Linked DNA regions of Ovis aries. The protein of the gene in region 3 interacts with the protein of the main gene of each other region in a pairwise test. Links are inferred from orthologs where the notes say so. Each region holds a gene or a part of one and is shown on either strand. Other genes may lie near its edges.

The links.
Region 1: the proteins of PRKAB2 (region 3) and PYGM interact in binary tests that used the Homo sapiens proteins (3 or more experiments, as listed by UniProt). The link is inferred for Ovis aries from reciprocal best matches to the Homo sapiens genes PRKAB2 and PYGM.
Region 2: the proteins of PRKAB2 (region 3) and RHEBL1 interact in binary tests that used the Homo sapiens proteins (3 or more experiments, as listed by UniProt). The link is inferred for Ovis aries from reciprocal best matches to the Homo sapiens genes PRKAB2 and RHEBL1.
Region 4: the proteins of PRKAB2 (region 3) and GRN interact in binary tests that used the Homo sapiens proteins (3 or more experiments, as listed by UniProt). The link is inferred for Ovis aries from reciprocal best matches to the Homo sapiens genes PRKAB2 and GRN.
Region 5: the proteins of PRKAB2 (region 3) and TASOR2 interact in binary tests that used the Homo sapiens proteins (3 or more experiments, as listed by UniProt). The link is inferred for Ovis aries from reciprocal best matches to the Homo sapiens genes PRKAB2 and TASOR2.
Region 6: the proteins of PRKAB2 (region 3) and PSMD11 interact in binary tests that used the Homo sapiens proteins (3 or more experiments, as listed by UniProt). The link is inferred for Ovis aries from reciprocal best matches to the Homo sapiens genes PRKAB2 and PSMD11.
Region 7: the proteins of PRKAB2 (region 3) and RBPMS interact in binary tests that used the Homo sapiens proteins (3 or more experiments, as listed by UniProt). The link is inferred for Ovis aries from reciprocal best matches to the Homo sapiens genes PRKAB2 and RBPMS.

The regions. Positions count from the first base shown.
Region 1 is NC_056074.1:39,445,366-39,449,643, forward strand, and holds the start of PYGM (glycogen phosphorylase, muscle form), read right to left. Parts: upstream 2,801-4,278; 5' UTR 2,732-2,800; coding exon 2,489-2,731; intron 1,425-2,488; coding exon 1,323-1,424; intron 1,236-1,322; coding exon 1,157-1,235; intron 1,073-1,156; coding exon 969-1,072; intron 591-968; coding exon 459-590; intron 1-458. UniProt on the Homo sapiens protein: Allosteric enzyme that catalyzes the rate-limiting step in glycogen catabolism, the phosphorolytic cleavage of glycogen to produce glucose-1-phosphate, and plays a central role in maintaining cellular and organismal glucose homeostasis.
Region 2 is NC_056056.1:137,161,685-137,165,970, reverse strand, and holds the start of RHEBL1 (GTPase RhebL1), read right to left. Parts: upstream 2,801-4,286; 5' UTR 2,601-2,800; coding exon 2,549-2,600; intron 1,939-2,548; coding exon 1,867-1,938; intron 1,532-1,866; coding exon 1,464-1,531; intron 1,193-1,463; coding exon 1,110-1,192; intron 1,020-1,109; coding exon 963-1,019; intron 763-962; coding exon 715-762; intron 379-714; coding exon 297-378; intron 126-296; coding exon 36-125; 3' UTR 1-35.
Region 3 is NC_056054.1:98,151,187-98,155,318, forward strand, and holds the start of PRKAB2 (5'-AMP-activated protein kinase subunit beta-2), read right to left. Parts: upstream 2,801-4,132; 5' UTR 2,659-2,800; intron 2,456-2,658; exon of another isoform or gene 2,396-2,455; 5' UTR 2,369-2,395; coding exon 2,216-2,368; exon of another isoform or gene 679-2,215; intron 1-678. UniProt on the Homo sapiens protein: Non-catalytic subunit of AMP-activated protein kinase (AMPK), an energy sensor protein kinase that plays a key role in regulating cellular energy metabolism.
Region 4 is NC_056064.1:43,892,553-43,894,843, reverse strand, and holds the end of GRN (progranulin), read right to left. Parts: coding exon 2,202-2,291; intron 2,111-2,201; coding exon 1,865-2,110; intron 1,629-1,864; coding exon 1,395-1,628; intron 1,293-1,394; coding exon 1,062-1,292; intron 972-1,061; coding exon 834-971; 3' UTR 501-833; downstream 1-500. UniProt on the Homo sapiens protein: Secreted protein that acts as a key regulator of lysosomal function and as a growth factor involved in inflammation, wound healing and cell proliferation. Regulates protein trafficking to lysosomes, and also the activity of lysosomal enzymes.
Region 5 is NC_056066.1:42,517,827-42,521,326, forward strand, and holds part of TASOR2 (protein TASOR 2), read right to left. Parts: coding exon 540-3,500; intron 1-539.
Region 6 is NC_056064.1:17,480,655-17,484,154, forward strand, and holds part of PSMD11 (26S proteasome non-ATPase regulatory subunit 11), read right to left. Parts: intron 2,328-3,500; coding exon 2,203-2,327; intron 1-2,202.
Region 7 is NC_056079.1:25,712,936-25,716,435, reverse strand, and holds part of RBPMS (RNA-binding protein with multiple splicing), read right to left. Parts: intron 2,535-3,500; coding exon 2,496-2,534; intron 1,257-2,495; coding exon 1,194-1,256; intron 1-1,193.

The DNA.
Region 1 (4,278 bases), on a different chromosome or scaffold from region 3:
TTGGACACCCGGTTTAGTGGCAGGCTCCCACCAACCTGCTCTATGACCTTGAACATGTCAGTTGCCCATCCTAGGCTTTAGTTTTCTCTCCTATCCCCCTTTTTGGGCTGTTGGTTTATTTCCCATCAAGCCCCCAGCTCAAATATGCAGGGGAGCCGAGACTCTGATTATTTTGGGCGGCGAGGAGCAGTGGTAGAGCAGGGCAGTGTCTCTCCTCCTCCCAGCTCCTCACGTGGTCTGGCTCCCCTGTGACCCTGTCTCCAGCCTCTCTGGGTTCCACCTGTGTGACCTCAAGTAAGTCACTTAACTCCTCTGAGCTCAGTGGCCTCCGATATAAAACTGCACTCTGTCCAGTAGCTTCCAGGCTCTTTCTTTGCTTCTCCCTGTTTCCTCCAGAACCTCCAGTCCTCCCCTCCACCTCACTAGATCTTCCCCCTGCTCCCTGGCTTCCCCCTCACCTGTGTGTCTACCCACTTGGCCCCCTGGCTGGTGTGTTCCACTCGGCCATAGAAGTGCACCGGCAGGGTGAACTCAGGGCGGGCCTTCTCCCAGGGGTTGCCGTAGCGAAGCCAGTCATCAGCCTCCTCCATCTGAGCCGCAGGTGGGTCACGGGAGAAAGGAAGGCAGAGTCAGAGCTAGGCTCACACCACAGCAGGTGGTGGGTGTAGCAGGAGCCCGCAGCCCTGGTGTGCCCTATAGAGGGAGGGCGTGAATGACCGGCTCTGCGGTAGGTGGGCCCCCAGTCTGGTGGAAGATCCAAGGGGGCTCGGTGTGTGCATAAGAGTCTGAGACATTCCACAGCCGTGGACCTCTTGTCCCAGGAGCTGACAGCTGGCTTGGGGCCAGGGGGAAGGGGCAAAGATGCTCTCCACCCAGGCTGCTGGGGCTGCTTCTGGATCTATGTGCAGATGAATGAACAAATAGCCATCTTCATCATAACCACAAGGTCAGGGCCCAAGGTTACTCACCTGCCAACCCCCAGAGATCTTCTGGTTAAAAATCCCAAACTCATAGCGGATCCCATAGCCATAGGCAGCCAGGCCCAGTGTTGCCATTGAGTCCAGAAAGCAGGCTAGGGGTGTGCAAGGAGGTGGATATCAGAGACCCAACATAAAGGAACACTTCTGCCCAGTGCCCTGGCGCCCCGCTCACTTACCCGCCAGCCGGCCCAGGCCCCCGTTGCCCAGCCCTGCGTCCTCCTCGATTTCCTCCAGCTCCTCCATGTCCAGACCCAGCTAGAGGTGGGAGGGTATAGCAGAAGTCAGGGCCAAGGGCCAGCAGGTCAGCCCTCCAGTCCTGAAGGCGTGCCCACCCCTACGCACCTGATAGGTGGCCTCGTCACAGGCATTCTCCAGCGCCAGGTTCACCATGGTGTTCTGCAGCGTCCGGCCGATGTAGAATTCCAGAGACAGGTAGTAGATCCTCTGTCCGGAGAAATAGACGGGGAGGGGGAGGGGAGGGAGGGTCAAGGCCGCCCCCTGACATTCAGCCAGGCCCGGCTGGGCCTGCACCTCTCATACCTCCTGCCCCACTCCTAGGCCCCAGCGGGTTCCAGCCCTGCCTCCAGTTTTCCTGCCTTCTCAGGCTTTGGGACCCAGCAGGTAAGATACTGGTCCCAGCATTTCTTCTGACTTTGGACAATTCACTTTTCTTCTCTGAGCCTCAGTTTCTTCATCTGAAAAATGGGGCCATATCCACCTCAGGGGGTTGAGGTGCTTAGGAGAGCTGGGAACCCCTTCCTTCGCGCGCAGTCCTGCCAAGAGCCCATCAGGAAGTCAGGACACAGGGAAGCACCACCAAGAGCTCCCGAAAAGGGGAGGCCAGGCCCAGAGAGAGAAGTCATTGGCTCAAGGTCACACAATGACTCAGGGCTAGAGTCAGCCATCTCCCTCCCTTGCAGTGCCCAGCTCCCCTTGGCCCTCAAGCCTCAGTCCCAAGAAGGGGGTTGGAGAGAGAGACTGCTGTATCCAGGATGCTGACGGTGTGGTGCCCAGTCTCCTGGTTTCCTGGGTTCCCGCCCCTCCCCTCCCCCACCCCTGCCCAGCAGTGTCAGGTTGCTGACCTTTACCAGTGACCCCAGCAGATACTTGATATCGCCACCCCAGATGCGCCTCACCCGGCACACCGGCACACCACACACGCGTTCAGTAGAACATCCTTCCACTTAGGATCCAACCCAGGCCGCGGGGTCTTCCTGCCCACCCCCCAGCAGCCTCTCCATTCTCTGACTGAGCGCTGAGCCTTTGCAACCAGCCTACCGGACCCGAGGCCCCTGACTTGCCCCCGACTCCAGGTTTCTCCCCCTGGGTGGTTCCAGCACCCATTGCACCTGGCACCCCTTTCATCCAACCTCAGGAACCCGGAGGCACCCTTTCTTTTGCTGCAGAAAGTCCTGACCCCAGAAAGGGCCTGTCATTCGCTCAAGATCTCCCAGGCCCCAGGCAGGGCCCCCCAGCCCACTGCCCACCCGGGGTGCCCCAAGCGGCACCTTGGGGTCCTTCTCATAGTAGTGCTGCTGCGTGCGGATCCAGCGGCCCACGAGGTGGTCGCGCACCGTGTAGGCCAGTGCGAAGTAGTAGTCTCGTGGGGTGGCCACATTGCGGTCTTTCACAAGGGTGAAGTGTAGGTGCCGGTTGAAATTCTTCTTCAGCTCGGTCACATTCTCCACACCGGCCAGGCCACGCACGCTGATCTGCTTTCTCTTCTCCTGGTCTGTCAGGGGCCGGGACATGGCTGAGGGAGGGTGGGCCGGACTGACTGTGCAGACGGGCGGCCTGAGTGGTGCCTCCAGCCAGGGAGTGGAGATCCCCAGCCGGCTGGTGCTTTAAAGCCTGGCTCCAGGCAGCTTGCCCCACCCCTTCCCTCGATGGGAGGGTCTTGGCCCGGCTCCTCAGGGAGCTATTTTGGGGTGAGTGGAGGAGAGGAGGGATAGGGCAGGGCCAGGGCCGGCCTGGCTCCTTCGCAGCCCTGCACTGACCCACTTCCTCCAGGCCTCGTGCACGGGCACTGGGGCCTGCCTTGTGCAGGGTCGGAGTCAGGAAGCAGCAGGCAGAGTGCTGGCTTGAGAGGCCTGAGATTTGATTGGAGCGGCTGGGCTGTGACTTTGGCTGAGGCTGCCCTGAATTCGGATTATGGATGAAGGATGGGGCCTGACTGTGGGCCCTCAATCAGGGCTCCTTGGAGAGGCCAAGGAGGCTGTCGAGGAGGACAGGTGTCAGGAGGCCCAGCCTCCAGCAGAGCAGCTTGGCTTCGGTTCTCGACTTTCACACAACAGGCTGCACACCACGGGCAGGATGCTCTCTGGTCAAGCTGCTATGGTGGCCCTGCCCTTTGGTGGGGAGGACATATGCTGTGGCTGAAGGTCACCTGCGCAGAGCATCAGGGTGCCCAGAACAGAAAAGGTGAAGCTAGCGGAGGACCCTGGGCATCTGAAAAAAGGGGGACCGGGATTCTCAGTTCCAGGAGAGGTCGCCTGAGGCAGGGCCACTGCCCCCACCCCATCCCCCACCAAAGTCCAGCCACTCTGAGCTCCCCCTGTTGCTGTCTCTCAAGGAGTTCTGAACTGACCTTTCAAGAGGGATGGTCAGATTACAGGCCAGCTTTGGCTAGGGGCCACCAGCCTGGAGCAGGGGCCCCTGGGAACTGTAGTCCTGTGGCCCACAGGGGTAGGAGAACTGAAGCAGTCCATACACACACATACACACAGACACACACAGAGACACAGGCACAAGACACACACACACACACACACAATGGTATCAAGTCTCCCCATGCCGCAGGTGAGTGAAGGCCTTCTCCCATTCATTTCTCCCGCCTAGGGCCACGCAGTTCCTAAAGTTCCTTTAGGATGGACTGGTTTGATCTCCTTGCAGTCCAAGGGACTCTCAAGAATCTTCTCCAACACCACAGTTCAAAAGCAACAATTCTTCGGCGCTCAGCTTTCTTTATGGTCCAGCTCTCACATCCATACACTACCACTGGAAAAACCATAGCTTTGACTAGATGAACCTTTGTTGCCAAAGTAATATCTCCGCTTTTTAATATGCTGTTTAGGTTGGTCATACGGAGAAGGCAACTCACTCCAGGACTCTTGCCTGGAAAATCCCATGGACGGAGGAGCCTGGTGGGCTGTCGTCTATGGGGTCGCACAGAGTTGGACACGACTGAAGTGACTTAGCAGCAGCAGCAGCAGGTTGGTCACAGATCCTGCTTTGTTCCTGTTTTTTGGCTGTGCCAAGTCTTAGTTACGGCATGTTGGGATCTAGTTCTCTGGCCAGG
Region 2 (4,286 bases), on a different chromosome or scaffold from region 3:
GCAGCTGCCCCTTGCTCAAGGGCTCATCTCCAGGCTCACATGAGATGGCAGCGGCGCTCTTGCCCATATGAATTTTCCACCCGGGCAATCTCCTGGATCACTTTGGTGAAGATGCCTTGAGTCAGCTGCAAGGGATAAGGATTCAGGGCAAAAAAAAAAATTGGTTGAGTTCACTGCCAATACTACCCAACTCTTAGGTGAATGCCCCACTCCCCCACCATCCCCACCACCAAGCAGTGGCATAAAAAGAAAAACACTGCTGCCCCCACCACCCTCCTACTCTTCAGGCCCAATACCTGATTATTCCGAGCAGATGACTCCATAAATGTTGCACCCCAGGATGCTGCCAGCTTCTTCCCCTCAACAGCCTGGACCTCCCTAGAAGCAAATTCAGGACATGAAAATGAAAAATAGCAATGGGCCCCATGCTCTCTGAAAAATCTTTACAGAAACTAGACTTCCTCTGACTCATCTCATTCCAAGGTTTGGGAGAACGTCTGTGGAAGAAGAAAATACAAGAAAACAAAGGAACCTAGGACTGAGGCTTGAAATATGAAATTATAGCTTTTGAGATAGAAGGATCATTTTGTCTCAACCTTCAAGTTAGAAACGAAGAGGTAAAACAACTGGTTTAAATCAGTGGCAGAGCCAGGACAAGAGCCTGACTCACTCCTAGACACTTTCCTTTGCCTTAAGCTACAGAGATTTCCATACCTGTCTGGAGAGAGATCGGCCTTGTTTCCCACCAGCACCACCGGCAGCCTGGGAGGAGACAGCAGTTACAACAGAATCCCCTCTGTTCCCCATGGACCCCAACCTCCTTCACATCATAGCTGGACAACTCCCCATCAAACCAGATAGGATCGATGTTCCGGCTTCCTCCTTAATTTGGATCAATACTCCCCTCTGCCCTCCGTCTTCCGTGGTGTCCACACTATGTCTTTATCCCCTGTGCCACGTACCGGGTTTTCCCGTGGCCTTCATGTAGCTTTTGGTACAGACTCTCAATGACTTGGAAGCTTTAAACACAAGAAAAGAATCTTACAATTTTATTCTGGGATAGCCCTCAGGTCTTCCCAAGTCCACCACTCTCAACCTCGGTCACTTACCTATGCAGAGAGGTGACAGAATACACAAGTACATAACCATGGACCCCAATGATGAATGAATAGGGCAGAATGCTGTACTCATCCTGACAAGAAACAGAAATATCAATACCTTGATTCACAAGACTCAGATGGCCAAGTTTGGTGGGCTGCATCCTGGGGACCCTCCCTGTGGCACTCCCTACTCCGGTCACTTCTATCCAACAAGTATTTATAGAGTAGCTCCAAACAACACTGCACACTGAAATACTGCTAAAATGCTTTTAATACTGCTTTACAGATGAGCCTCAGAGGCTACCAGACTTCATCTCCCAGGACTGAACTGCCACATTTAGACACCCTACCCCAAACTGGTACCTGCCCTGCTGTGTCCACCAGGTGTAGGTGAAACTCATCTTTGCCAACAGTCACTATCTTGCTGTAAGCTGAAAAGAAAAGAAAACTTGACTGTGAGGTGCCTTGTACGGCGAGCAATCTGTGCCCCTATATATTAACATAGATGGGCCAGGTTCAAGGAGCTCTCCAGGAAACTTAAGATACAATGTTAGGCTTCTTATTGTCTACACATGCACTATCCTGGACTCAGTATCTTGGAAAATGCACACTCTAGCTCCACTCACAGAACAGGATTGATAGAGAAGAGACTCGATTTAATATCTAATTAAATCATCCCTTTGGCACCCGGAAAATCCCAAAGTGTGGCCTTGGGTGGGGCACCTAAGCCCTCCCTACCCCACCCCAAGAGGAGAAATTTACTCACTATTCTCCACAGTAGGATCATAGTCTTCCAGGAACTCTCCCTCCACAAATTGATGTGCTAAAGATGTCTTCCCTGTGGGAAGCAGAGGTAATTGTAGCCAAATCACCCATCCACATTCATTTCCTCTGTCCTTTCGGGCTGTGGCCCTGGACTAAAGGAAACCCCGAATTAGCATCCTAGCCTGTGAATGCCCCATGCAATGCTTTCCCATAGACTCCTTCACCCTCTTTTCGCCCCAGGTCTCTGCACCTTGGCCACCGGATGCATACAGTAGCGACGCAGGAAGCTTTTCCTGCAGTCTTTCCCCACCCAACTCCTGGGAAGATCCGGATTCCCCAGGATTTAGTCAGCCTTGCATCCGACACCTGAGACTTGCCCCACCCAGACCGCGCCCCCGCCACCAAATCCTGCCCCCATCTCCACCCCCCCAGAGTAACGAACGCTGAGGACCACTGTGGTGTTCAAGCAGTAAGCCCATGTATACTCTTCCATGCTCCAGCTTCCTGCCGCCTTGAACACTACCACCACCCCAGCCTTTCCCACTCCAACCTTTCAGTCCTCGCTCTACAAGCTGGTTCTAAGGATGCCACCATTTCTCCCTGGGTCGCCTTCCCGCGGCAGTGCGCCTCCTCTGGCCACAAAGCCGCGGTGCATCGGTGCTCTGCCCTAGAGGGAGACTCACCTACAGAACGGTATCCGAGGATGACCACCTTCCTGTAGCGAACTAACGGCATGGCAGGAGCCGGCCCCGAGGGGCTTGCAGAACTTGGAGCTGAGAGAGCCCCAAGAAGAGAAAGTCGCAGTGCAGTCAGGTGTGGCAACCGGCACAGGAAAGTCGCTCACTCTGAAGCTGCCAGGGGCAAGCTAGAGGGAAACCAAAACAAGCGCCGCGCCCGGAGCTGGCCACGTGATCACAACACAGCAAGACTAAGGCGAGGGAGCCGGGCGACCGGGGAACTACACTGCCGCGCCGCTCAGGGCTCCGCCCCCCAGGCCGCTCGCCATTGGTCCATTAGAAAGGATAGGGGCGGAGCCGTTAGCAGGAGGGAAGGGCGGGCCTCACGTGGAGCGGGAGAAAAAGGAGTTGCGCATGCGCACACTAGACCCGGTTCATTCATAAAGAAACAGAAAGGAACCCGGGGTCCTAGAGGTGTTTGCGCGTTTGCAATCTAGTAATAGTGGCTGCAAAGAATCGTGGATGGAAAAGCGTTGTGGCTGGGCTGGAATTTATGGTTAAAAGATTCTAGGTCTCCCTTTTGCAAGATCTCCGGAGTCCTTGGGTAGGGAAAAAAGGCCAAAGTTGTAATATATCCCCCTCCAAACTTTAGCCCCAGATATTTTATTGTAAGGTTTCTGTAGTCTTCCAGGATCTAACTTCGGAACTGCGATTCTTATTCCTTGAAAAATTGTTAGAATTTGTGGCCAAGTCCTCTGAGGTTTAGCTGTTATCGTTATCACAATCAAAGCATTTATTTGTTCAACAAATATTTATTAAGCATATACTATATGTTTTAGTTATTGCTCCATCTTGGAAGATAAGAGTGATGAACACAATAGATAAGGTCTCTGAGTTCACAAGCTTAAAATTCAGTTGGGAAGAAACAAACATAAACCAGTAAATGTTAGATAATATTAAGTGCAACAAAAAAAGCAATGTTACAAGGGACTTCTGGGTGGTCCAAGGCAGAGTACTCTTTGTTCCCAATGCAGAGGGCGGGGGTTCAATCCCTGGTCAGGATACTAAGATCCCACATGCTGCAATTAAGACCCTGTGCAGACAAATAAATAAAAATAAAGGGGGGGGGCGGGGAACTGTGATAAGAAATGACGGATTAGTCATTAGTGACACAAATTAGTGGCTTTTCATTTCAAAAGAAGCCCCATTCAAGGTGAAGTTCAAATGACAGTAAGGAGCCAGCTAGGTAAACATTCAGACAGAAGAATCCACCGGCACTAGGATGGAAATAAGTTTGTGAAAATCCAGAAAAGAGAGAAAGCCAGTTAGCCTAAAGTAGATGAAGTCTAAGAGGATCGCAGGTGCTAGCCCATGTAAAGTAGTTTGGGCTAATTCTAAATACCTAGAAAGCTGCTGTTGATGGCTGTTGATGGTGTCATTAAGTAAATTGGGGCATGACATGATCTGAATTGTGTTTCTAAAAGATCTTTCTGACTGTGGAGAATGGATTGGGGTTTGAGAGAAACAGGAGCAAGTGGAACAAACAGGGAGATCAGCTAGGAGTCTGCTATTTGTAGACCAGGTAAGGGGTGAGAGTGGCTTGACTAGAGTGATAGTGATGAATGAATTTCATTCAGAGAATTCGGGGTATGTTTTGAGGCTGAGGTTAAGCTCACTTGCTTGCCGAAGGTATGGATACAGAAGGTGAGGAAAGAAAACACCTAGGTTTAGAGAGAGTTTTACT
Region 3 (4,132 bases):
GCTTATAGGTAAAGTAATATTTGATATGATGGTCTGGGATTTGCTTAAAAATAATTGGTGGGGGTAGAGTGGATTGGGGTATAGATGATATGAATTCATTCATGATTTGATCATTGTTTAAACTGGATGACAGTTATATAGGATTCATTACACTGCTCTCCTGACTTTGAAACATGGAAAATGTTTCAGATTTTCCATGAAGTGTTTAAATAAATCCCAGTAAGTCTAATGTGCAAATAGGATTGAAAACCACTGAACTAGTCCACTGAAGGGTGGCATTTGAAGCAATATAGGCCCTTCTGCCACTGTTTCTATCATTTACTTGTATGCTTTATTATTTTAGAATTTGAAAGCTACAAACTATTAATATGCCTAGCTTTGGAAGAAAGCCCTTCCACGTATGATATGACATTTCTGTGGTAGGCATCAGTGCAGCTGACAAGGAGAGAGATTGTTTACTCCAAGTTAAATAGTCAGCAAAATCATCAGGAAAAGAGGCAAAACAACTAGAATTACAATTGAAAACTGTTTAAGTGAAACACTGAGGAAAGAAATAGAATAGACTGAGCAACTGTAAACTCTCAGATTTGGAAATGACCTTGGGAATTATTTGAACCAATCTTAGTTCACAAATGGCAAGACTGAGGTAAGGGAAAGAATGATCCAAAATAGGCTCCATTTCAGATAGAGCAACCTGACTTTTATTCAGGACACCGATTACTGCAGCCACAGTTTGACAAGTACACAGTACTTAAATCCTGAGTCATCAGTGTAGGAAATGGATAAAAATACAATCACCTTGAGAAAGCTTTGAAGAAGTAAATTCAGATGGCTGGGGAGATAGCCCAAGAGTTGAGGAAGAAGTCCTGAAGTGGAAGAAGCAAGAAAGGAACAGAGAAGAAACCCCAAGAAATCACCTTCACTTCTCTTTGTGATTATGTTTTCAATTGGGATCCAAGAAAATAAACAGAATCCACATTTCATGTGTTACCAACCCAGCAAAATTACTCTCTATTTACCCTGGTCGTTCAGACGGTAAGGCATCTGCCTGCAATTCAGAAGACCCAGGTTCAATCCCTGGATCGGGAAAATCCCCTGGAAAGGGAATGGCAACCCACTTCAGTATTCTTGTCTGGAGAATCCCATGGATATGGGGTTGCAAAGAGTCGGAGACGACTGAATGACTAACACACACACACACACACACATTTACAAGAGTAAATAAAATAAAACCTCAGATGTGTGGCAAGGGATGAGTGATAACATCAAACACACCCCAATCTCCTCAATCCCTCCATTTTTCTACTTCATCCCAGTCAGACTACCAGGTGGAATTACTGTATTTAATGCAGACAGCTCTAAAAGTGATTAGAAACATTTGGATGTAATTTTATTGCTGTCAGCTCCATCTATCTTTTCTGTAGGGTGAACACAAGTTGCCACTTTCCTGAAAGTCCTAGACTGACAGCCAGGTCTTCAGGGAAACTGTGGGTGGTCCTTTTTCAGTTTGGTAATATTATGAAGTACTACCAGGAAGTGAAGAAATCCTCAACTTATTTGCTCTCCCACTTAAGAAGTAGCTGGACATGAAAAAAAGCACCTCAGCCATAACTATAAAGTATGAGATGAAAACTAAGCAGTCAACCAAATAATGTCCTTTATTGATCCCCAGGACTAGGAAAAAGTATTCATATAAGCAAGGGGTTGCTGCTCACAGTCATGCCAAAGAGGAAGAGGATCTGAAGTGCTGATCTCTTAGAAGGGCAAAAATGAGACTAATACAAAGAAGTAGAAGTGTTCAGGGAAAAGTCACTTACCTACCTTAGGGCAAATGTGAGAAACTGCCGCCTGTGGTCAGCAACTCAGGTAACCTACAGTCTGAAGTTTTTCACAACCTACAAATTCATCAATACTCTAGAAGAGGCATCCAGGAGAACCAAGGGTGGAGGGGGGCGGAGGGGGGGGGGTGTTGGCCTCATCCTAAAAATGTGGCAAACACAGGAGTCCAGTAACAGGAACTCCGCCTCTAGCCTATTTTGAGGCAGCACCGCAAAAAGAATTACCACCCAGTATCTCCGTCCCCAGAAAAAAACCTTTAATTCTAAAAGCCTTAATTCGGGTCAGTGTGGTAAGGAAAAAACAAAAGAGGGAGGAAGAGCCCTGACACCCAGCCTGCTGCAGGACCGCCACCAACTAGGGGCGTGGGGACACTCACCTTGGAGTCCGGCAGGCTGAAGACGCTGGGGTCGTCGGTGCTCCCCACCATGATCTTATGTTCCTTACCCGGAGCATGGCCGCCGGCGCCCTCGGCGCGCGCAGCCTTGGCGCCGTGGCGCTCCCCGGCCACTCGATCGCTGGTGTTTCCCATGGCTGTGCAGCTCGAGTCGGGGGCCACCTGCCGTGGGGAACAGCATGGGGCAAGGGACACCCCGGCAGTCTTGTCAGGGGAGCCCCCGGCCCCGCCCCTGCGTCTGGGGAACCGGGCGAGGGAATCCCCGCCCCAGGGAAGCCGTGCCTGGGGGACCTCTTCCTCCCTGGCCTCCAAGAACACCCGGAACCCCCAAACCCTCTAGAGGCCCGCTGCTCAAGAAACCCCCTTTCGGGAACTCCCCCGCATCCCCCGCGCTCACGGTCCAGGGGCGCCCCCACCCCAATCACCTCCCGCGATGCTCTCCCTCCTCCCGGGATCAATGGTGAGATGGCTGTTCTGCGGATAAAGCCACCAATAAAGTTATCGAAATTGAAGCCTCGCCCCGGGCTAGCGAGCCGGGTTTCCTCCTAAAATGGCTACAAGATCAGTGGCGTGGGGCCCGCCCCGCGCGCGTTCCCTGCGGGCGCGCCGCGACGGCGCCCGGGGCCAGCCGGCCTCTCTAGCCGCCGCCGGCTCGGTGGTGGGCCGCCGCGCGCAGCCTCCAGCGCCAGGCGGGGGCGCCAGTGCCGCAGTCAGCGGAGTGCGGGGCCAGGACCGCTTCCCTGGCAAGCCTGCGCCGGAATCTTAGGTTTATTTTAGTTCAGTTCAGTCGCTCAGTCGTGTCCGACTCTTTGCAACCCCATGGACTGCAGCACGCCAGGCCTCCCTGTCCATCACCAACTCCCGGAGTTTACTCAAACTCATGTCCATTGAGTCTGTGATGCCATCCAACCATCTCATCCTCTGTCGTCCCCTTCTCTCGCCTTCAATCTTTCCCAGCATCAGGCTCGTTTCAATGAGTCAGCTCTTCCCTTCCCATCAGGGGGCCAAAGTATTGGAGTTTCAGCTTCAACATCAGTCCTTTCAATGAACACCCAGGACTGATCTCCTTTAGAATGGACTGGTTGGATCTCCTTGCGGTCCAAGGGACTCTCAAGAGTCTTCTCCAACATCACAGTTCAAAAGCATCAATTCTGCGCTCAGCTCTCTTTGTAGTCCAACTCTCACATCCATATATGACTACTGGAAAAACCATAGCCTTGACTAGACGGACCTTTGTTGGCAAAGTAATGTCTCTGCTTTTTAATATGCTGTCTAGGTTAGTCATAACTTTTCTTCCAAGGAGTAAGCGTCTTTTAATATCATGGTTGCAGTAACCATGCAGTGATTTTGGAGCCCCCAAAAATAAAGTCTGACACTGTTTCCACTGTTTCTCCATCTATTTGCCATGAACTGATGGGACTGGATGCCATGATCTTTGTTTTCTGAATGTTGAGCTTTAAGCCAACTTTTTCACTCTCCTCTTTCACTTTCATCAAGAGGTTGGTTGAGCCCAAAGACCTGCCATGGGGAAAGGATGGTTCCCAAAAGATACTTGGGGTCCCTTCCCGGGCTCTGGTGCACCGTACCAGGAGGAGCTGTGTTGGTTTCTTCTCGGCCTCCTCACCTGGTCTCAAGTTTGCCAAATGTCTTCATTTTGTAGCATCTTTTCGACAAGCTTCCCAGAGAGGTGAGTTCCTGTAAGGAATAAGAAATAAGAATAAGGACTTGCAATTGAAAGCTAAGGAAATAATGGTAATTGCTGGGGGTTAAAACTAAGTGTTATGGGGAGTACTTAGCAGTCAGAGTGGGGCCCCAGGGAAGAGGGAATATTTAGACAAATCTTGTCAGATTGTCAAAATTAGGAGAAAACTATTCTAGGCTAAGAAACGGTATTTGCAG
Region 4 (2,291 bases), on a different chromosome or scaffold from region 3:
AGCTGTCCGGTGGTATGTGCTGGGTAATGTCTTGGGAGGGACCCGTGTCTGCCTCCGAGAGGGAGGTGAGGGAGGGGGGACCAGAACCTCGATGGGAGGTGCTGGGGAGGAGGGCAGGGTGGGGGGAAGCAGTGCCTGTATAAACGTGGCTGTACATAGAAAGCTCTATCGTGGGAAAGCAGGAGGGGCAACGAGGCCTCAGCTGCTAGCCTGAGGGCCGGGAAGGGAGGGGGCGTTCTAGCGGACCCCTGGGAGGGTAGGGGGTGCTGCTTGCTGACTAGCCCACCTCTGGGCTGCGATGTCACAGGGCTGGAGGCTGGGGCGGCTCCGGGGACTAGGGAGTAATGTGATGGGATCACTGTGGGCAACAGCAAATATAAAACTGGTGAGATGAGCTGCTGTGTGTCTTTCTGTGGGGGTTGGGGAATGTGGCCACTGGATGGGGACCCTGGCTCAGGGGCCCCTGGGGAGGGCAGGCAGAGTGGCCAAATCAGACACTGTTAAGAAAGTGTACAAACTTTATTGCAGCACACATACGCACGCGCTCACACACACACGCACACACACCTGTGGATAGGAAGAGCACCTGGCCACAGGGTTGACAGAAATTGGGGGAGGGGATGGCAGCTTGAAACGTGGCTTTTGCCACAGCCCCCCTCACCTTGGCATAGGGGAGGCCTTAGATTGAGGCCCCACCTCCCAGGGTGATGGGGGACTCAGAAGGGGGTCTGGGAGAATGTGGTGGGGGAGAGGTGCTGGGGAGGCCTGAGCAGTGGGGACCCTCTGAGCAGGGTCCTGAGGGCCGCCAAGTGTCTTCAGTCCTCAGGCCCTCCTCACAGCAGCTGTCTTGGTGTCGGGTCCCTCCAAGGAGCGTCCCAGCGCAGGGCCTCCCGATGGAAGCACTTGGTCCCCTTGGCTCCGCAGCGGAAGCCACTGGGACAGCAGTGACGCCTGTCCCCACAACAGGTGCCCTTGATGGTCAGAGTAGGGGGCGAGAGTTGGACGTGGCAGGACCTGGCCCAGGCCTTTACCCAGCCCCTGGGTTGGGGGGTGGCACTGACCTGGCGGTAGGGGCAGCAGGCCCAGCCCCCTTGGCTGTCTGGGCAGCAGGTCTGGTTATCGTGGCAGAAGTGCCCCGCCCCACATTCCACGTTCCCCGCGCCCACAAGAGGGCCGCTGGCCAGGCGGAGGGCAGGGTGTGCAGGGTCCACCTCCTTCTCACAGGATCGGGCCTTCACATTGCAGGTATAGCCAGCCGGGCAGCAGTGCTGGCGGTCCTCACAGCACACGGCCTATGGAACACAAAAGGGCCTCGCACTCTCACCCCCACTAACGTCCCCTCCCACCTGAGACGGGGCCCCGCCCTGACCAGGACTGGGCAGGTGGGTACTCACGTGTGGCAACTGACAGCAGGCCCAGGCCCCCCTCAGACTCGGGCAGCAGGTCTGCCCCACCGGGCAGCTGGTGTGCTGGTCACAGCCCATGTCTCTGGGGTGGGACGGGGAGGCCCTGCGGGCAGGCACCTTGTCCAGTCCGGTCACCACCTGCTTCCCCCTCTTACAGTGCCCTCCAGCCACACACGCATAGCCCTTCGGGCAGCAGTGCTGGTGGTCCAAGCAGCAGACAGCCTGGGGAGGTGGCAGAAAAGGGTGGTTTAGGCAGCTACTCTGGGCCAGAGCGCTGAGCCCCTGCAGCCCCCAGCCTGCCTCTCCTGCTCGGCTCCTCGAGCTGGGCATGACTGTGACTGAGCTGGGGTCCCCCGTGGGCTGGGCAGAAGGCAGAAGAGCAAGGCAACAGGAGCCTGGCCATGTGCCCAGGCCAGGACACTGCCCCCCTCCCCTAAATCATCCTCCTCCCCAGGCACCTCTGGGGCAGGACAGCAGCCCCACTCCCCAGACGTGAGTCGACAGCAGGTAGTGGAGGAAGGACAGCTGGTGACGTTATCACAGGGGACATCCCCCTCCACGGCTCCGGGGTCCGGCAGGCTGACGTGGGCTGGGGCTTTCTCCATCCACGGCACCCGGCGGGTCCCCTGTTGACACACACCCTTCTCTGTGTCACACCTAAACCCGGACGGGCAGCAGTGCACGTGGTCCTCACAGCACACGGCCTAGGGTGGCGGGAGAGGGGACAGTGGGCCTGAGGGGACTGGCTGGCGGCTGCCCTCTGCTCAGCGCAGTCCACTCCCCATTCCTCGGTACCTGCACAAAAGGGCAGCAGCCCCAGGCCCCGGACTGTAGGCGGCAGCAAGTGTAGTCGTCTGGGCAGCTCACCTCCATGTCGCACTTGAC
Region 5 (3,500 bases), on a different chromosome or scaffold from region 3:
AAATAAATACTTAGAAATCATATTTAAATGATACGAAATTGGAGCCATCAGCGTCTCCCAGGAGACCGTCTCTGGCTCAGCCACCTGGGGAGCTTCATGAGGCTGCCCTTCCTCCCTTAGCCACCCTCCGGGCGGTGGAGAAATGCTCTCTAAAGCACGGCTGCTCTTTCAGAAGCACTCCTCAGCGCCTTCCAGGGGCCTAGGGTGGTCGTCTCAGTGCTGCTGTATGATCCTTTGACCCGATGGTGACCACTACACTTTGGGAGGCCCTCTCTACTCTCTACCCTTTGGGGAGCCTCAGGCCTGGAGGTGCTCAGTGACCAGGGCGACACGGGGAGGACCCCCAGGAGGCAGGCACATAGGACCTTACCCTGCTCTGTAGTGGCACTGGGGACAGGGAAAGACTGAGCTGAGAAGGTATAATACCACATCGTGGCTGCTTTCTGAAGCTGAGAATGCTGTATTACTAAAAAAAAAACCCAAAAACTTGGACCTGCAATCAAAGTAATAAAAACTGAAGGAAAAATCTGGCACCTTACCTTTGTTCTTACAAAGAAGGACTTGTCTTCAGTCTCTACGAGGTGGAAGAGGAAGGTGCTGGAACACGCCTCCCTCACCACTCGCTCCAGCTTGACGCGCAGGCTGGAGCACAGGTCGGCCACCAGGTCCTCGTAGGAGGCGGGCTGTGGGCTGCAGACACACAGTTCACTGGGCATGGCCGCTCCCAAAGCCACAGGTGGCTCCGTGTCCTGGACCAACTGGCGGCTGCTCAGCATCACCTTGTTGAACTCGGCATACTCACTGAGAATGACAGCAATGTCGTTGCGTGAGTCTTTCAATGTACTGTTGTATTTCAGCTTGTGGAGGTGGAAGGAGGCGGTCTGATTCTGGTCTGAGTTTGTGAGGTGATTTCTACCATGGCCACACCCCTTCTTCCAGGAGGAGGAGCGGTCCACATGGTTGGGCATCTGATGCACGACTGTCACCACAAGAGGACTCCTGCTTCGGGAGGTGGGAGGCAGCCCCGGGCATGTGGGCATTGGGGTCCCAGGAAAAGCCCCGGTGGTGACCTGGGGTGGAGGCTCCTTTGGAAAGGCACCAGGCAAAAGGGCAGAATGCCGAGCGGCTCCCATCTTCACAATTTGTTTCAGTTTGTGTGCAAAACGCAGGTGCTCCAGGTCTAAAGTGTTCTGGGTGAGGTCATCTGTTCCCTGCCAGGTGTCCACCCAGGAGCTGAGCAAGCCACACGGGACCGTGCTGCTGGGGCGCCGCCTCAAGCCGTGCAGGGTTCTTGGTGTGTCTCTGAGCTCTCTGGTCACGGTGAAGTTGGCGTAGCTCCTGGGGACCCCACAGACATCTCGGATTTGGACGTAACAGGGCACACACGTAGCTTCCTTCTTCAGTCCACCCAGCCAACTTCTGGGAGGAACGCTGGTCTCCAGCCCTGGAACCTGGCTCGCGTAGCCCCAGTCATGGTCATCACTGGTGTTCAGGCTCAGGAAAGCATCATAACTGTCTTTGGATGCACCTTCTCTTTTCCCGGTGTGGCCATATTGTGAAGCACGGGACTCTTCTGTGTTGTATCTGGGGTGTCCATACTCACCCACAGAGTCCTGATCTGAGTCTCCAGAAAGGGGTTCATAGTAGATGTCAGAGATCACGCCCACACCCTTGCCTCCACCTGTGCCTGCTTCGCCCGTACTCACACCTTGCAGCTGCTCTTCAGAGACCCCACCAACAGGAGGTGCACCAGATCGGGGAGCAACGGACACAGAGGGCTCTGGACTGGCACTCTCGCCGTGGGCTGCAGTACCTGGGTGAGCATCAGCCTGCAGGTACGTGGGGAGAAGTCCGCCATGGAGCAGATCCCATACTGCACACGGTGACCCCTCCTGCAGCAGACAGGCTGACTCCTGTCTGCCTTGTGGAGAGGTGGTGAGCAGCTGGGGGCCAGCACCTCCTGGATCCGCGGCTCTTCCCTGTAACTCGGCTCCACTATCCTCACTGTTGAGCAGGTGGGTCATTCTGACAACCGGGACTTCCTGTGTCGGGAACCCTGTCCCTGTGTCGCTGGGGCCTGTGCTGTTTGCTGTGGTAGCCCCGCCTGAGGGGAGTGCAGGCTTGGGGAGCTCTGGGTGCCCGTGGGTCTGCACACCCTCAGCTCCAGCAACTGGGTCGGAGCGCAAGGACTTAACCAGGATGTAACAGCATTCCTGTGTTTTCACATTACTGCTCAAAACATCTTCAGGAAGGCTCTGAGTGCTGGTCACCACAGCACCTGGTGTGGCTGTAGAAACAAACATGTCAGCAGAAGACTTGTTTTCAGGGATCTCTGCAGGACTGAAAGGCTCACTGGTCTCCAGGACACGATGATGTGAGTGGGGGCTGCAGATCTCCACACCCGTGGGCTGCAGTGGGTATCCTGATGATACCAGGTTTTCAAGAGAATCTCCGTACGTGACACCGCAGGCAGGCTGGGTTACTGTGGCATCGAAATCTGGCCCCTTTCCTGAGAGAGAGAAGCCCTCCCCACATTTACTTGGGCCAGTTTCCTCAGTGACGTCACCAGGAAGGATTAAGAATCTACCTTTTCTTCCTGCGTGGTTCTGTAATTGTAGAGGTGTTTCAGCAGAAAGCTGCATCTGCTGTACCTGAGCTGAGTTATCTTGTTCCACTGGATGGGTGGCAGTAACAAGAGAACTTTCCTTTTCTGTTTCGGCCAAATCTCCTGATTCGACCTCACAGAGCCTGGTGCTTTTCTCACCAAGTGTGTCACGGTGTTTCAGACCACGTGGAGATGTGGCCTGAGTTGGTGGTGCTTCTTCCACTGGTGCCTGGGGGCCAGGGCTGGAAGCGGGTGACACTTCTTCAATCAAGGAACCGAATGGGAAGTCAGAGGCAAGGTGAACTTCCTCCGCAACCTGCCGGGTACATGTTTCTTTAGAAAGTATGAAAGCCACTGTCTGTAAATGATCACCTTTTCCCTCCTTGTTTTCTGCTGGTTTCACAGACGTGTTAGCAGCAGAGTTCACGTCTCTGTTTTCTGTGAAAGTAACCTCTTTGGACATGAGTATTTCCTCTGCCATCTCCTGAAGGTCTACGCAGGGAAGCGAGGCCTCCTGCGGTTGCTCCACTTCACCAGTGGGCGCTTCTTCCCTAAGACTCATGGGTGGTGATAGGGTGAGAGTGAGGTCAAGGTTGGAATCCTCCTCTGATACCTTGAGGCTGACCTCCTCTCTATTCACAGACAGGCCTGCTTCTTTGGTAAATGTGGAATTAAATGGTTTAAAACTAATATTTTCACTGTTCAGACCACTCTTGTCCTTCTTTAGTTCTGAAGAGCCACACAGAGTATTCCTTATTGATGCGATGCAGTTAAGGGAATCCTTTTTTCCCAAGGGGGCAGAGGCTGACAATGGGACTACTTCAACCTGGGACGGCTCTATTATTTCTTCCGAAGAGATGCTCAAGAGATTCTGTGTTGGGAGAAGGAATTCTTG
Region 6 (3,500 bases), on a different chromosome or scaffold from region 3:
CTCAAGTCAGGGGGGAACAGAGAGGAATAAGATGTTGAGAGGGTTACTGGGTAGGATATCTCTCAAAATGGTGGTACAAGACTTTTGCAGTAGTCTAAGAAATAATTAGAACTCACTGTACATGAACAATACCTCCAAAAAAAAAAGAAGAAATAATTAGAACCCAAACTCGATGGCAGTTGTACATAGAGAACAGATACAAAAAGAGGTGGAGAATAGATTGGAGAGAGTTGCACTGACAGAATTTAATAAATAGTTGGGTGCTGACGTTGCTATGTTGACTTTGAGGTGCAGACAGAACCATCTGGATGGTTCATAATTTACTCCAAACCAAGCAAATAACCTGTAATCCACAAAAATTACTGAAAGACCTGCTAAGTGGAGTAAGACTCTGGCTCTTGATAAAAAGCTAGACTACTAATCAATAAAAACAAACAAACAAAAAAGATCAACAGGTCTTACTCAGCACTAACACGACACTGACAATAAAAAGGCACAATCTGTAAGAGTGCTCCCTTTCACCCTAGGGTAAGACAAGCCTCTAGTTGACAAGAAAATAATGTACAATGAAGGATAACAATGTACACACACAGTTAAAAGGAGGGCCTAACCAGACATGGAGCCACAAGACAAAGGCCAGTAAATCCCACAAGCCAATTACAGGAGAGCACCAAATTATGATTTGGATAATGTGGATACAGGAGGAGGAGAACTGACCATCAAACAAATGTAGTCCTATCCACTGAGCCAGCGCAGTTACAGGAAGAGACAAATTCCAAGAGTTCAGTCAAAGAAGCAGCTTGGATAATTAATTTTTTCTGCCTAAAATGTTCCAAGTAACATTTATTAGTCTGTTTCAAGCTAACATTTATTGTTCAACTCATTCTAAGGAGTCCTAATTCAAACAAAAAATGTGGCATCACTTTTTCATGAGTACAAATACAATTTTTTTTTTTTAAAAGTCAGGGTTACACAAGAGTAACACCTCTTTGAAACACCACCTTTTCTTTTAAATTATTCATAAAAATAAGTCTAATGCTTTGGTTCAAAAGGCAGCCATCTACACATCTATTTTTGATCTACTATCATGAAACAGTTCTGTGAAAAACAAATGAACTTGAAGACTTCTCTAGAAATAAATTTTCTACAATGAAGTTAGTTTATGGTGTTTAAACTAGGCTTCAAAGAATCATTAAGGAAAGAAACCAGATTTTACAAACGACATGATTTCAAAGTAAGATCCATTTAAGTGCTAGGTTTCTGAAGTTCCCCACTGTTTATTCAATATGCCACTAAGCCCCTTCACATCTTTTACATCCACAGGCGCCATGGCAAATAATGAGACATGTAACTACCTACCAATTCCTACCCCTGCCTTTATACCACTTGACATTTTACATATTTGTTCATTATCTGCCTTCCTCATTAAAATATAATCCCCATGAGAGCACTGTACGTTACAAATGAATCCCTAGCACTGTAACAGTGCTAACACAGCACGCATTCAATGACTGCTGAGCAATACAGAAAAGACAACAACTGTATTCTTCCTACAAACAGGTTCAAGCAACCACCACACACCCTGCTTGAATCTACCACTTTTTACAGAATGAGTTTTAACTGTGGTAGCGTCTCCTTCTCCGGAATTGCAAACAGTAATTCTTTGCAAAGAACTGGAAGAGGCTCAGCGATTCCAAAGAAACACTTTTCGGTACAGCTCAGGGTCTAGTCTGAACTCGTAGAGGACATGGACAGGTATACCAGTCACTTCAGGACACACGAGACAGACAGATGGATGCTCAGTCAATAAAGGCATAAATGCATACAAGACATGCCAGGAAGGGATGCCACGAGACTTAATTAGTGCTCACTAGGAGCTCTGTGACACAGAGGTACCACAGACACAGAAAACATTACAAAGGTGTAGCAATACAATACCTCAAAGACAAGAATCAGTTTGTGACCCTGATGTAATGAGGATTCCAGGGACCACTGACAATCTCCACTTACAAAGCAAAGCATGGAACAGACCCAAAGTATCAAATGCCCTGCAACAAAGAGAAACTGACATGATAAGTCCTGCGCTGTCCTCCCAGCCGTCCCTTACACATTACCACCGCAGTGCAGGCAGGCACTTCCTTCACTGAAACAAGACTTTGCTCCAAACTAGACTTTGTCTCTTTTGTCATTCAAGTAGCTTACCTCCTGTCCTGTAGCTGCTTCCATATCAAGAAACAGATCAAGAAGAGATCGGACCAGACGAGCAGCTTTAGCCTTGCTGATGGAATTCAAGAAGGGTCGCACATACTTCAGGAGTCCTCCAAGCTCTGCGGAAGGCAATTGTGACAGGAAAAAGTACCCATCAATATTAGGGACAAAATACCCACTAAAAGATGACCCAAGATAATAAAATCAGTACTTATGTCCGGAAGCAGTCAAAAGGAAACTTAATAGGAATTTAAAGCATTCTCAGCAGGTAACAGAGTAGCAAGAAAGTTAACAGCTTACACCAAATCTGTATTCCATTCCCCACTTGGTCACTGATTACTGTGAGGATCCTGGGACATGCTCGAGGCTCTCTATCTCATGAGTACAGCAAAGTACTCACACTCTCAGAAAGCAGTACTCTAGAACAGGAAATATGCCATGCCTCAACCACCTTGGACAAAATCACTTCCCCACAATCAACAAATTTATTAGGTTATAGAGCTACAGGAAATTTTTTTTTTCTAATTTCCAAGACTGGAAATCTCAACAGAGACCTTCCATTTCAGGTTCCTTTCTTCCTCCCTTCCTAAAGTTATGCCCAGTTTAGTCTTTTCCCAATGTAACTTGCATGGCACTCTTCTGAATCAGTTTTTCACATGAAAGTTAGGGCGTCTGTCCCCTAACGTTGTACTGTACCCTGTTAAAATTCCTCATTAATCTACAAACCCCAAGTCAAACCATGACAAAAAAGGTGACCACCACTGAGGCTTCTCCCCCTCTTGTGTGAGAAAAGAGGGTGGCACAGTAATCCTAAGGGGGCACCTTTAGAAACAAGAGTGAAAATCAGACAATATTTCAACTAACCAACTAAGGAAGTACTCCTGGAATGTAGGTTAAAATTACTTTAGTGTCACTGCCTCAAATTGTAGACTCATCCTCCTGAGAACTTGAATTCAGGACAAGCAAACCTGCCCCTCCAGAGGATGCTAATTAGGGGTCTTGAAATCCTCATCTGTCAGCATAGTCACAGAAACCACGGGGCCGTGTCAGGTATAAAAGGAACTCTATACAGAGTAGGAAAGTTCACCCTTCCCTCCATTCGCCAGTCCTGACTTGGGACACCCACCGCCTCAGATTCTCCCCCACTCTATCACTCCATTCACCCCCACACTGACTGCACACATGCCTGCAGCCAGGCCTCGCTCATGCTGCACTGCCACCTGGAATCCACCCGTCACCCTGACCTACGTAGAGCTTAGATGCCCTTTCAAGTCTGCGAAAGTCCTACTGAG
Region 7 (3,500 bases), on a different chromosome or scaffold from region 3:
AGCCCCCCTCACCACAGGGTCCCTGGGCCTCCAGGCGCCGAGAAACAGCTGGGAGAACACCTTCAGGACCCACAGCCACAAGTTCACATAAGCCGACCCTCCAAGAAGTATTCCAACACTCCTGGCAGCTGTACTCACACCTCATTCATAGCCGCTTAAGTCAACTGTCTGGAGAGGGATGGAGCCAGGCTCTTCACTGAGACGCCTCACCTGGATCAGGCCTTGGCGCCCAGAACTAAATTCTGCTTCCTACCACCTTGTCCCGGGTTGATTCCCCTTAAATTGCTTTTGGTTTTTGTTTAAAAAAAACATACCAAAGGGAGGGAAAAAAATCTTACTAAATTAAAGCTGGTAAAAAGTCTTAAAAATATGGGAAACAAAATGCTTTCAAACCAAATACAGGTTATCTCTACTCAATTGTAGTTGCCTATCCTTTATTATCGGAGAAGGCAATGGCAACCCACTCTAGTACTCTTGCCTAGCAAATCCCATGGACGGAGGAGCCTGGTACGCTGCAGTCCATGGGGTCGCTAGGAGTTGGACATGACTGAGCAACTTCACTTTCATTTTTCACTTTCATGCACTGGAGAAGGAAATCCTTTATTATACACCACAATGCTGAATGTCTTCTGGGGAAGTAGTATATGCAAATTTTAAATCAATCAGAATAAAGACTACAACTTTTTTTTAAAGTCACATACCTTTTAAACAATACACTTTTAGGCAGCCCTGACTAGGGATGGAACTTGTGCCTGCTGCGTTGGGAACAGAGTCTGCACCACTGGACAGACAGGGAAGCCCTTAAAAGCCAAACAACTTAAAAGCCTCCTGTGTTAAGGAAAGCCAAGATCTTTCTCTATTCTTGACTTGGGCTTAGCCACTGAGGATATAATGGGGGCTGAAGTAAACTGCACACCACCATGGGATATGATTGGGCTGAATTAAAATAAAATCCCCAGCATCAGGTATCTTGAGCATTACAGTAAGGGCTAGAGACGAGCAAAGTGTTATTTAATAGTCTGCACATCTAACCACAATTTTAGGCAAAATCTCTTTATGCGGCTAACTAGAGTCGGTTCCTCTTAGATCAAGTAGTCATATCCCTTCCATTTGCTTTCCTGTCCAAAGAGGTTCTATTACTTTCCCTTTACCTCATAAGGAAACCCCCGAAGATGAACATCATTCGTACTTACATTCAAAGCATTCTTGGCAGCTTCTGCTTCTGAGCGACTGTCAAAACTGACAAAACCTACGGGCTAAGGAAAGAAAGAGAAATATGAAGAAAAAAATATCAGGGGATGTCTCTGTTTCTGGGTCAAAGATGACATCAAACCAAAGAGCTCAGATAAAGAAATGACCGCAGGCAATGGGCAGAAATCAGAAAGCCAGTCCAGAAGAATCATGACTCAGTGGCTTAGCCAAATTTCTAACATGGATCAAAGGGATGGTGAGGGTGGTTCTTCAAGGGACAGCTGGAGATTTAGAGAATCATTAAAAAAATTAAGTCTAGAAGGGGCTGGAAGGTGAGCAGCAGTGAACCAGGGAACAGAGGGAAACTTGGGTGGAGGGACTCTACTGTCCTACATCGAACTCACTGTACCTCAGCATCTTCATCGTTTAAAATGCAAAGAGAACCGAATCACCTTTTGGTACACTGTAAGTGCAAGGAATATAATGACACAGTGATAAAAGCCCTGTAGTCTCACTGCACGATCAAAATTATATAATGAACATTTTAATCTCAAATCCCAAGGGATGTTTTTAAAAAGTTCTGTGTTTAATTAGGTGTGTAAACCATACTGTTCCAACTCAAGAGAGGACTCCTAATTGCTTTGGACTCAGTATCTTTGAGTCCAGAAGGATAGTTGCAACACAGCCTATTCCTGATGAACCAGAGAATACTGTATTGAGACGAAAAGTGACCCAAAGTGAGATGCCGGTTGCTCAGGATTAAAAAAAAGCACAGCCAAAACATTTCAAGGCCCTTGAAGCCGCTATCAGGGTCACTGATTACTACCTCCATTCTGCACCTGTGCCTTTTATGCGCCATTCTAGACTTAAGACTCTGCATGTGGTTATTAAGGGTTTGAGACAGAGCCTGATTCTTTACCATCAACTTCTCATACTGACTGTGAATGAAAAGTCTGACTATTTAACTGTATTTTTAAAAAAAAATTGGCAGTAAAAGTGAATCTAGACAATAATTTCTTTTGAAGATACAGATCAATCCCAATATAACCATGCTGGAGGCATTATATTTGCCTTCCTTGAGGATAGTCTCAGACACTCTAGCTGGAGGCTTTGGAATTAGGAATCATTTTCCTCTGCTAATTCTTAACTGATCTCACCCTTAATTTTAGAGCAAAAAAATAAAAAAATAAATCTTAATGGAAATTTAAAAAAAAAGGATGTTGAGCCCTTGTGACATTCCTGAAGAAAGTCAATCAAAATTTATTCTATAAGTCATCACTTATGTGCAAGTTTGAAATGCTTACCTGCTTAGATGTGAGCTTTATAAGAGAACCCTCGTAGCCCTGAAAATAAAGAACCAGATTTAGACCACAAAAACAATACGCCAGGAAAAAAAGCAATTGTAATACCATCTTGCTCAAGTGACAATGAGTCCTTTATGACCACTGACCAACTCTTCCTACAAATGTCTGTTAACTATAAAACAAGTTTTATACACACACACAATGTATATGCCTAAGTATATATATATATGTGCTGTATGCTTAGTCATGTCCAATTCTTTGCAACCCCCTGGACTGTAACCTGAAAGGCTTCTCTGTCCATGGAATTTTCCAGGCAAGAGTATTGGAGTGGGTTTCCATTTCCGACTCCCGGGGATCTTCCCGACCCAAGGATAGCGCCCAAGTCTCCTGCACGGTCAGGTGGATCTTTACCACTGAGCCACCTGGGAAGCCCACACTTGGGCCTAAAAGAGATCAAGCCCTGAAACTCACTCTCTTACGTTTCTTTTCTATGTTCTTATGCAATTGGGAAACAGTTGGAAAACGGTATCTATGTCAACAGAAGGTCTTTTCCATTTTATACATAGGATAAAAGCCACTCCACTCCAGTATTCTTCCGTGGAAATTCCATGGGCAGAGGAGCCTGGCGGGCCACAGTCCATGGGGTGGCAAAGATGTGGACACAATTAAGAGACAGAAGAAAGGCAGTTAAGTAGAGTATGTGATGACTTGTTCACACTTATTCACTTGTTCACACTGAAAAATATATTTGCTGTAAAACAACAACAAAACACTGATAGTGTACTTAGTAGAACTTGTCAATGAAAATTTCAAAATTGCCTGGAAAAGTTAAACAGGCAGTAATGCTAAATTCTGTTATTTTGCTTATTTATTGCAGCCATCTGTTTTCATGCTGGTATTAGGATTGGGAGATGCAAAAATTCCCTGTTGGGTTTTACTCCAGCTCATCCTCAAGGAAGATGGAAACACTCCCTTTCACTCCCTTTCTGATCCCTCCTGGTTTCC